Linked DNA regions of Yarrowia lipolytica. The protein of the gene in region 1 interacts with the protein of each later gene in a pairwise test. Links are inferred from orthologs where the notes say so. Each region holds a gene or a part of one and is shown on either strand. Other genes may lie near its edges. The genes, in order: YALI1_B21088g, YALI1_E11415g and YALI1_D17983g.

Region 1 (3,457 bases):
TTAGCAACCTTGTAATTGCGTTGGAGCGATTTTTATTTTGACAGTTAGCGAACAAACGACAATGAGCACTTGTCGCCTGTCACAATGACTACAGCCACTTTCACAGGCACTGCCATGAAAATTCACATTTCAGTGGTGGATCCAGCTTCCAGCACCCTGTCCGGATACATTAATGATACAACGTTTTTCCAGGGTGATATTCTCGGAGATCGATGGAACTACGAGAGCAGACGATGGGGATGGAACCAAATTCGAAGCCCATGGCTCGGCATAGATTCGACAGCCACATACTTGCGACTCAGAGAGGTGTACTCGCTGCGGAAGGGCTCAGATGCTCAGAAACAGTATCATGTCTCACTCAAGAACGGCGTCATGCGCGTTTCACGCGGAGGGCAAGAGACTGTGCTCTACAGAGACACACACAATGGTCGGTTTAGAAGTAGGATCTAAGTGATATAGAACAGAAGGAGTGTGGCATGATAAAGTATTTACCAATTGACATTACAACATAGACCGCTTTAGTCATATGACTTACAACGGTCGATTTTTTTTCTTGCTTGTATGGGTTCACTACAGTGGTATTTGAAGTTCCATGTCTGTGAGATGTTCATGCATATATATTTATCTCGTAGGAGAAATGACTAGGCCTCGACAAGTTTCTTCCGGTAAGCCCAGTAGCCCTTTCGAATGGGGTCGTACTTTTCTTCGAGCAAATTGAGAGCCTCTAGAGCCTTTGACTTCTCCTGCTCCTTGAGGTAGATCTTGGCGAGTAAATCCAGAGCATGCGACGAGGTGATCAGAGGCTCCTCATCTTCTCCCAGATCAGAAGGCAGGCACGCGTACTTGAAAGTCAGCTCCTGCAGATCCTTGATGTCCTTCTTGTAATGGGAGTAGAGACCCTCAATGTACAGCCAGGGGGAGTGGTTTTGTGGTGCTTTGTCGATGGTATTTGCGACGAACTCAACCTCCTCCTGGAAAGACGGCTTTGTAGTCCACTCCTGTTTGTTGTCGTTTTTGAGCTTGAATAAGAAGAACCGGTGGTTCCAAGCGGAGTTGTTTCTGCAGTCCTCCTGGATCATGATGGATGTGGTGGCCAGTTCTGAATCGAGGTTGACAAGTGTGGGGAACCGTGTCACTAGCCATTGTCGATACGACCACACATGGTGGTTCTTGGAGTCGTCAGACAGCATGTAGTCAATGAGTTCAATCTCTCTGTCCAGAGTCAGCTCCTCTCCCAGCAGATCAGGGTTAACCTCGAATAGTTCAAGCAGCTGTTGACGGTGAGGCCAGATCTGGTAGTTCTTGGGGCATGCCATGGCGATGTCATCTACCCAGCGCAGCTCGTGTTGCAGTGCTGCCAGCTTTTCGTCTTTATCTGCAGCACCTGCCTTGACGTCAGCAGCAAATGATTTCAGCGTGTCGATACGGTATGCCCATACGGTGTAATGGGCTGGATTCTGGGCAATCACATTAGACGCGACCTGAAGACCTCGTAAAGACTTCTCGTTCTTTTCCATCAGAGCACGTAGCAAGCCAGTGGCCTGCTTGTACTCGTCAGTGTATGCAATGGAGGCCAGCGCGTGGTCGCTCTCTCGCAGTGGGATGATTTCTAGGTCGTCAAAGTTGTGTGACATGTTGTGTAGGGAGTGTTGTAACGAGTATTTCTAGCACTTGCAGAGCTCCTTTTAAGCTGTGATGAAACTATTGTGTGGACTGAATGCGGTATGAAATAGAGTTTGGATGGGGTGATGTGTTGTATGAGGGTACAGTAATGTAGCTTCACAATTGGGATATCCATATACGGACAACCACAAGTACATGTAGTGTACAAGTACACTACAGCACGACCAGAACGGGTACGTACGAGTAGTATGAGATCATGTGAGGCAAACTGCTGAAAAAAAGCAAAGATGTGGATTATTGGAGAGGGTATTCTGAGAACCCGTAACAACAAGTGGCAGTGTAGCATATATAATATAATATATTACTGTCAAGTTGTATCTTTGCACAACTACTCAGGAACCCAACAAACATACAGGAAGTGAGCAATGCCGCCTCCAGCACAGAACATATGACAGAATCATTCTTTGAGAGCTAAATCACGTGATCAGTGACCTGATTGCCCCACCTTAAATGCTTATTAACAAAAACTGCTTGCTGATCTCACGTCTCTGTGTTTGACAGCCAGTTGTGCGGCTAACAGAGTTCATCTCTATTGTCTCGAAGTCTCGAAAATTCGGCGGGTGCATGCTTTTTTCACTCCAGCTTAAACTCTACGGAAGCAGAAGTGGATCCCCGATGTTCCCTGAGACTTATCAAGGAATGATAGGGGTGGCGCCTGAGACTCTGATTTGGGATATTGGAACTCACGAATCACCCCCAATGGATGACATATATGGCACTGCTATAGCGCATCTGATACCCGTGCATTATTCGACTCAGGTCTCGTGCCTACAGGAAAATGCATGCAACACGCAGATTCATTAGCCAGGGCAACGGTGTGGTCGGTGTCCACGGTGTACTACTTGTAGACTGATAAGCCTGAGAGATGAGTAGTACATACTGTAGCCACGATAAAGATGGTTCAGGTGGATATTACAGTCTCAGATCAAGTTTCGAGGTGCTTTATATTACGTAACGGGGTTCTGAATGGACAACACGCACCATCTCAACAGACATGATGAGCACAGCGTAGTCAACTAGCTCTACATGTTTTTACTGAAAGTACCAGTGTACTACAAACTCTCGATAATTGAAGAACTTACAAATACAAGTGCACTCCTTTTTTAGTGATACAGCTTCTTACAATCGTTGCATGGTTCACCCATGACTATTAATGTACTACAAGGATGATTACTTGTACTTGTAAATCTTCCAACGGACAGTTACTATCATAACGACATGGAACTCTAGCGATGAGCAGGATAATCCACAGCTCACAAAACAGCTAATGAAGTAAATTATGGAATTCCACCTCCAAAGAGCAAATGATTGACAGATACGTATCTGATTACAGCACCAGTACCCGACAGCATCACAGGCACTTCCAAGGCTATCACCGTTGTGAACTCCGATGTGACTGACTACGGTGAATGTTGATGAGTCGGATGGTGATTGTTAATGAGTCAGATACCGATTAAGAGACTGTCTTGTGTGGCGAAAGTGAATAATTGTGATTCAAAAGAAACAAAACCAACCAGGAAAACCACATCAAGTAGCATACCAAGTCTCAATCATCTCACATTATCGAACATCACCACTCTTCCAAGCCCTCTACAGGCACAAGTACAACCTTTCCGTACCCCCAACCCTAACATCGAAATTAAGCTCTGGTCGATAAAGTATTTTTTCGGTTCGTGCATACAACTCTGTTCTATTGGAATTTTTTAAATACCCAACGCTCTTCCTACCACATCCTACTGGAGCACACCCAACTCTCATAATGCCCGCCCCAGTG
Region 2 (3,816 bases), on another chromosome or scaffold:
GTCTTCTGCCATGATCAACTCCGTGGCAGCAGCAACGTCTGCAGGCATTGCCACCACCTGTACTAATCCCTTCGACACTGTGAAAACTCGAATGCAATTGGCCCCCAAAGAGTACCCCAACTTCCTCACCTCCGTTAAGACCATTATACAGCATGAAGGTATTCAGGCGCTGTTTAGAGGCCTGGCGCTGCGAATTTGCAGAAAAGCGTGCCAGGCCGGTATTTCCTGGTGCATTTACGAAGATCTTGTCAAGCGGTTCGAGAGAATGAATCTTCCAGGACCTCAACTTTAGGTGACAACAGCCCGTGATCTCCATCGCTATCTTAGCACCAGCGGTAAAACTGCATCTACATTGCATCTACATTGCTACTCCTCCTGGACATGTATATAAATATGTAATTTATTGTATATTTCTGATGACTACAAAAGGCTACAATTCGAAATGTCTTGCAGCTCAACATTGAGGACTTGGTGTGTGCCATCTCGTTATTAGTTGTATCGCGTATCAGAGAGGTTCCATTAACATAACTCATACAGCCACACTCGTGCTATCTCCTCCAGTCAACGTTTCAAAGGCCTTCTCACTAATGCAAAGCTCAGGAACAACCTTACCCAAACCTGGCTGTCCAAAGATGCTCAGGGCACAAACGCCGAGATAAGAATGCAAAGGATCTGGAATCTCGCCGGGGGTCTTACCAAAGCCACCCAGAAGTGTGTTCTGAGTGTTGTTGAGAAGATATTCACGGGCCAGATCAGCCGAAACATAATTCGTACCTCCCAGACTGGCCAATGAAGCACCCACCCAGAATGAGTAGCATGTGTCTGCCAGTTTTCCAACTCTGCCATTAAAACCTCCAGTCTGGGGGTCTCCTTGTTCTTCCTCCGACGAGTCATTGTCATCTCTCTTAGATGACTCGGACACCTGCGTCTCGCTTGTTCTCTCGTCACACTGCCTGCCCACAAGCCATTCTAACGTTGTTCCCCACTCCTTGTTGTTCAGTTGGCCGGCGTTCTTCAACGCTGACAGTCCGCAATATGTCAGTCCGGAGTGCGGCTCGGTGACGTTGCCCGTCTGACCTTGTCCAATGCCTCCCTGAAACGACTCTGTGTTCTTGATATGGCCAACCATAGCAGGGATGTTAATGTCTCGCGAACTAGACAATCTCTCTGAGGTATCACGTGCCAGTTGTCTAATGCCAGTGGCCAGGTAACAATATCTCATATCATAATCTGGGGCCACCTTTCCATCAATGCAAAAGGATCCAAAACTGCCGTCATCACGCTGACAAGAAGCCACATACGAAAGAATTTTGTCACGCGATAGACGTGTCCAGATCTCCCGGTCACCTAGGATGCCGAGACACGCAAGGCCGAAGAATGTGGCTGCGAGGTTAGCCGGGTCATATTCTGAGTTAGCGTAAAACGAAGCGGATGAATCGGGGTCAGTATCTATAAGAATGTGGCAGATTACAAGACAGACATTGAGAGGCGCCGAAACCAGGCTCTATTTACTTGGATCTATTTCACACTCATGGGATCAACAGATCAAGAAAAGTGAGTCCATTCCAGGGAAATGGTCTCGGGCCATGTAACAGACATCGGCAGTAACAACATGGGAATCTCAGTAAGATGCTCTCAACCCCCTGATGACTCCTCATAATTCAGGATCACCCCTACTATATCACCATAACCACATCTCCGCCTCTTTCCCCATACTCACTGTTGTCTCCCTCTCGTGACTCGCTATGCTCATGTCCACAGAGCTTGAACGTGGGGGATCCTCGAAATCCCTCCCCAGACTCGACCACCTGCTTGTAGATCCACTCAATGTACTCCTTTCTCTGTTCGTCTGTCTTGATGAACTGATCCAGGGTTCCCAGAAGATCTAGTCCGCTCAGGCAGAAGTAGACGATGGAGAGCCGGTTTCCGTCGTAGGAAGTCGCTTGTGCTGGCAGCAGAAACAGGCAGCGGCTGAAGTATTTTGTGTGTTTAGTTTTCTCCATTTTTCGGGTGGTGTGTAAATGGATGTTTGCCATTAAGGGGACATTTAAAGTTCCATATTGTCTGGAGAGGTTTTAGGTTGGTGGGGGTGCAAAGGGGTGTTTTTGGAGATATTGGAAGAGATATTGAGTGATTACAACACTTGTAGGTTGCTAATACCACCGCCCTGGGTCATCCACTAAAATATTGGAGCAATTAAATCACTTTTGAGGCGTCTGAAGTGTGTCTTAATGCCAGAAGAAGAGCTAAGTAAACCTTTAAGATTAATTGGGAGGAAAAGGGAACTAACATTGGAGATTTAGTTTAGATGGTTGATATTCATTGGAGATGTCGACGGGGCGCATGGAACACCAAATCAGCGTAATGGAACACCACTATTTCCAGCTGAATCCCATTGTTCTATTAGTCATCTTTCATCACTCGATTTGCTTCTGTTATTGACTGCTTTGAACGTCTGTCTTACACCTGTCTGCCATATTTCAGTTTCGCTTAAGACAACGGCTATCCGTTTGTTTCTGAACTGAAAAATACCCTCTATTAACACTGCGGGGTAACCGATAACCGAACAGGTGCAACTCCAGATCTAGGGTCTGTGATGAACGCGCCAAATGGATATGCAAAGCACGCTGTTTAACTGGAGGGGGCGGCTCTGATGACATCGTGCGTTTCATGGTATGTCGTTGAAACAGATTTAACCCGTTGATTGTTCCGAGTCATACCTTCATTGAGTCGAGACGCGTATTGGTAGGTTGATCTGCAAGGGTGGGACTTCTGGTTGGACCAAATGGCTGTGATTTAAAACAATATCACGTTGTATTTTGTATCTGATATATTATCGTGTACAGATTGTAATCCCAAGTACTGTAGTGGATATCTGTACATACTGTACTGGATGTACTTGACTGGTATCACGTACCATAACGTTCCGAGACACGTTCCGCGAAGCATGCAGATTGAACCGAGAAAAGGAGAAGCACGTAGAATGACAAAGAAGTATTGAAAATCTCGTCCTAAAGCGGTACTTCGGTTATGACTCTTGGAGGTATTGATTTACAAAGAGTTCGGAAGACCTCAGCCGCATGTTAGTCTGTTATTAGTAATCTCGCTTATTGAGTCATGAACTCTGTTGGTCGAGGACTGTCACACATTGTTGGCCAATTGTCTATTGTGAAGATATACAAATTATATAGCTGAAATAATATTGATCCGGGGATTCGATTGAGAGTTATTTCATTTCATTTGGATCAAAATAGCCCAAGTTAATGATCTCCATTCCCTACCCCGCTAAACCCAATTCTGATACATAAACCCCACAACCGCATCATCTCAACAGCAGTAACACTTCCATACATCCGCAATGACGACGACATTTGGACATACTGCTCGACATAAGTTCTGGGACTTTGACTCGCAGAATACGCCTCTGAACCACGGATCGTTCGGAGCAACTCCCAAAGATGTGGAGGAGAAACGGTTCGAGCTGATCCGAAAGATCGAGAAGAACACAGATAAGTTTATGCGAGTGGATCTCTACAAGATGGAGGACGAAACTCGAGAGTTGGTGTCTAAATGGATCAATTCTGAGAAGCTCAACACGGTATTTGTTCCCAACGCCTCTGTGGGCTTCAATACCGTCATTCGAAGTCTTCCCTTGAAGGAAGGAGATGTGATTGTTCACTGTAGCACTCTCTATGGTGCATGCGACAAGACTCTTCAGTTCATGGAGAACCGATACGGAGTCAAGTCGGCCAAAGTCGACATCACTTACCCCGAAGATAGTGACAAGGATATCGTGGAGAAGTTCCGAAAGGTGAT
Region 3 (3,636 bases), on another chromosome or scaffold:
GGCTGACACCAATTGAGACTCTCAAGAAGTCTCTTCAGGGGGAAGAACAAAAGAGATAGACCGGAATGAGTGAAAGAGTCGACTGCCATGTGAGGAGTGCCAGAAATCCATGTACCTTGTCTTCTAACACGCGTTAACATAACGAAAAGCGCGTGTGCAACCAGACACGTCTCCTTGAAAACTTCAACCACTGTACGATGGACATGTAGCTGTCGTACAACTACGATATCTTGATGTGAGAATTCGACAAGCTCAGCGAATCATTTCGGTACCAGCTTTTTCCTGAAAAGAGACGAATCAGCCGTTCCAGGGCACCCCAAAGTGGGAAGTGAGACGCACCACTTTTTCAGACAACTCACACATTGCTGCAGAAGATTCTGGCAATGGTTCGCGGGAGTATAGCGAGACCGTGGCATACTATTATGCCACCCGAATGAAGGTCCCTACTAACGACACCACCGAAGAGTCTTGACTGTGGCTCGTAGAACTTGCAGTACAGTATGTGCTGTAATGTAGATGTCGTGCGTTGGTCCGCAACATCGAATGATGTACTAATTAATTTCAAGTATATATCAGAATGAGTTGAAATGACGTTGGTTAAAATTCTGCGTCGTTTAGCTCACTTGAGATTCTCCTCCTTCAATGTGAAGTACAGTCTCATCCGCTCAGCCACACCCAGAGGAACACCATAAACAGGGTTGACAGGACAAATGCTAGTATCGGCTCCATCGCAACTGGTGGCCTGCCAATACAAACCATTCTCGCCCTCGGGGAAGTATATGTACTGAGACATGGCGATTCCACAGGCAGCGTAGTTGGTGTGGTAGGCATCGGCCTTGCAGCCAGGCTTGTCTCGAAGACCTCCTCCAGACTGCTGGCAACAGTTGAGAACGTACTGAGCCAACTGCTTTCGGTCCCAAAGAGAAGGACCAGCATGCACAGCTCCATTGATGAGCACGAGAGAGGCTCCCACCCAGTAGGCGTAACAAGCATCAACCAGTTTGTTGGTTCGGCCAGAGAAACCGCCCTCGGGCTGGTACTGGCGAGCAGACAACCATGCAAGGCACGACTCAACGTTGACATACTGATCCATCTCCCTAATAGGCACCAGAATGGCCAGGGCAGCAAGCGCGCAGTAAGTATAGCCGGCGTGGGCCTCATTGCCAGGGCTACCACCGAAACCTCCCTCGTACGATTGACATGAAGCAATGTACTTAATGACGCCGTCGGTAAGCTCCGTTGTCAGTGTGTTAGTCAGAGAGGCCACCACTAATCGACAGTAGGTGCCTCGCACGTCAGTCTCGCCACCCACGTTGGAAGCGAACCCTCCATCTGGTGACTTTAGCTTCAGGTTGTGTTTGAGAACCTCTTCGGGGTTGATTAGGCGACCCCAGGCATCCTCATCGTCCGAATCAGCCAGAGCGAGGAAGGCGGCGTATGTTGAAGCCGCGTGTGCGTCTTGGCCTGATCCACCTCCAAATACACCGTCCTCCTTAAACGATTCCAGAGTCAGGGGTATTCCCTTCTTCTGTTCGTCGCTCAGCTCGCCTCCCAGCACTCTGATGGCGTTTGCTGACCAGTACAGCAGCCAGGCTCGAGACGCATCCAGTCCAGTGAACTTGTCGGGAAGAGGAGCGTCCGGGCTCAGAAACATGTTGAGGAAATTCACGTGTTTCTCTGTCTCCAGAGATCTGACCTGGTCGCGTGATTTCTCCAGACAGGCGACAATCTGTTCTTCTGTGGCGTTTTGCAGCTCACTTGTTTCCGTGACATACGAGTCTCGGATCGGTAACGTGAGAATGTGTGTCATGTTGCGCAGTTTGTGTCGGTTCTGCTGCGCCGCAATATAGTCCAGAATGGACGACGGTAGACGAGCCATCGTTTTTGTACTGTCAATGTCTTATTGAGACGGCTCAAAGTGGGTGATGAGTAGAATGGTGTGGTGTGAGAGGAGGTGCAGGATTCATGTACACGGTTTGGGAAATGTCAATGCCGGTAGAGAGGGTGGATATGGGGATGATGGAGCGGCCGTGACGTGAAAAAAAGTCGTGGGTGTGTTTGTGGCAAGTTTAGGAGGGAGCGGATTGCTTTAATATTCGAATACAACGACTATTGAGCGGACGGAGAGGGTCTGTTTTCTGCAGTCTAAACTAGGGTATCCAGGTTGAGAGTTGCTGGGTATGCAGCAAAAAACGTTGGGGTGTCGATGATGGAGGCGTATTTTTGTACTCTAGGGGGTCAGCGAAAGCGAGAGATTTGGCGATGTGATATAAGAAGCAAGCGGTCGCCGAGGGGGTAGTTGGATATTAATTGAAGGGCCCTCTTGTGCTCCTCTGAAGGAGATGTCCGACGCTCGTCAGCGTATCCCTTCTCTGAAAGAGAGTGTCTGACGATCGTCAGTTCGCTTTCAAGCGGGTGGTTTCATATACTATTAAGAGATATGTGTTTGAAAGAGCGTTCTTACAGCAATATTACGGCACTGTACAGGCAGAGAAAGTACTTGTATGATGTCCTAAAATCTTACCGAATGTTTCAGCGTTTGTTCATATAGGTGTTCGTTTAAGAGAAGGGTAATTCGGGTTGTAGGGAAGCTAGAAGGCGGGGGACAAAACCAACTGGAAGAGAATCACGTGAGGGACACGATTGGCAACTAATTTTCGTCTTTCCGTTCTAAAAACACCCATTTTTCACCGCCATGAGAGGTTTAGGGGGGAGTAGTAGCTCTGCTGCACTCAACATTCGCTGCAGAGAATTTGTGAGGGATGTCATAGATTCTCGGGAATCGGGTGCCGAAATACCGTCTGGCAATTCAGTCTTCAATCCAACCACACAACAATACCGTCTGGTTCACGAGCCCTTCGAGTTCTGTCTCCCTCCTATATGGAACTTTAACCCACCTTACAGCTGCACTCCTGGTTCCATCGATAGCGCTGATCTCGATAATCTGACAGCCAGCATTGACACTCAAGCCTTCCCAACACAAGCCGCCGATTGCACCAACCAGAAAGTACATGGAAGAGTATTAACCGAATCATCCGGAAGACGAGCGACAGACGACAGACGACAGACGATCGACAGACGACATACGAGCGACACGAACAGACGAAGAAGTAAACACGAAAAATGTCTCTTCCGGAGGAAATATACACCTCGGCAATGCTGGCAATAGCATGTAACGACGACAAAAAGGCGCAGGAGATCCTCGTTTCGCTTCTCCAGACGTACCCTGATTTGGTGGACTATGCGAAAAGTATTTCTCCAGCAACTGGCAAACTGGTACTTCGACAGGCGAAAAGAAGCATGGATGCCTACGATTCTATAAAGAAAGGTGGCTCGGTACTCTCTCTGGCTGAGAAAATTGTCTACTTGTCATCGAGAACCAATTACGGATACGCTTTACCGTGGGAGTACGCGACTCCGGTGTCTGCACTGAAAAAGAGCGATGATCTGTACGTGGACGCAACTGATGGAGGGTTGCGACAGAGCCAACACCGAGACGTGTCGTGGCTGCGTATTCCACACGTCTTTGCGTCGTCAGATGCCGTCTTCACCTGGTCTGGGTTCGAAACACTGTATCAAGATGGCCTGGAAAACTGCTCTTTTGTGGCGTCCCTCCTGTCGATCGGAGTTATGGAA

The links.
Region 2: the proteins of YALI1_B21088g (region 1) and YALI1_E11415g interact in binary tests that used the Saccharomyces cerevisiae proteins (3 or more experiments, as listed by UniProt). The link is inferred for Yarrowia lipolytica from reciprocal best matches to the Saccharomyces cerevisiae genes RAM2 and CDC43.
Region 3: the proteins of YALI1_B21088g (region 1) and YALI1_D17983g interact in binary tests that used the Saccharomyces cerevisiae proteins (3 or more experiments, as listed by UniProt). The link is inferred for Yarrowia lipolytica from reciprocal best matches to the Saccharomyces cerevisiae genes RAM2 and RAM1.

The regions. Positions count from the first base shown.
Region 1 is NC_090771.1:2,107,065-2,110,521, reverse strand, and holds YALI1_B21088g (uncharacterized protein), read right to left. Parts: upstream 1,635-3,457; coding exon 642-1,634; downstream 1-641. Other genes in the region: YALI1_B21104g (uncharacterized protein), read left to right, coding at 85-450; YALI1_B21070g (uncharacterized protein), read left to right, coding at 3,443-3,457.
Region 2 is NC_090774.1:1,139,721-1,143,536, reverse strand, and holds YALI1_E11415g (uncharacterized protein), read right to left. Parts: upstream 2,004-3,816; coding exon 1,721-2,003; intron 1,408-1,720; coding exon 530-1,407; downstream 1-529. Other genes in the region: YALI1_E11441g (uncharacterized protein), read left to right, coding at 1-292; YALI1_E11402g (uncharacterized protein), read left to right, coding at 3,359-3,816. UniProt on the Saccharomyces cerevisiae protein: Catalyzes the transfer of a geranyl-geranyl moiety from geranyl-geranyl diphosphate to proteins having the C-terminal sequence Cys-Ile-Ile-Leu or Cys-Val-Leu-Leu. Acts, among other substrates, on Rho1 and Rho2 and CDC42 proteins.
Region 3 is NC_090773.1:1,796,522-1,800,157, reverse strand, and holds YALI1_D17983g (uncharacterized protein), read right to left. Parts: upstream 1,880-3,636; coding exon 620-1,879; downstream 1-619. Other genes in the region: YALI1_D17970g (uncharacterized protein), read left to right, coding at 3,124-3,636. UniProt on the Saccharomyces cerevisiae protein: Catalyzes the transfer of a farnesyl moiety from farnesyl diphosphate to a cysteine at the fourth position from the C-terminus of several proteins having the C-terminal sequence Cys-aliphatic-aliphatic-X where X is Ser, Ala, Met, Cys, or Gln.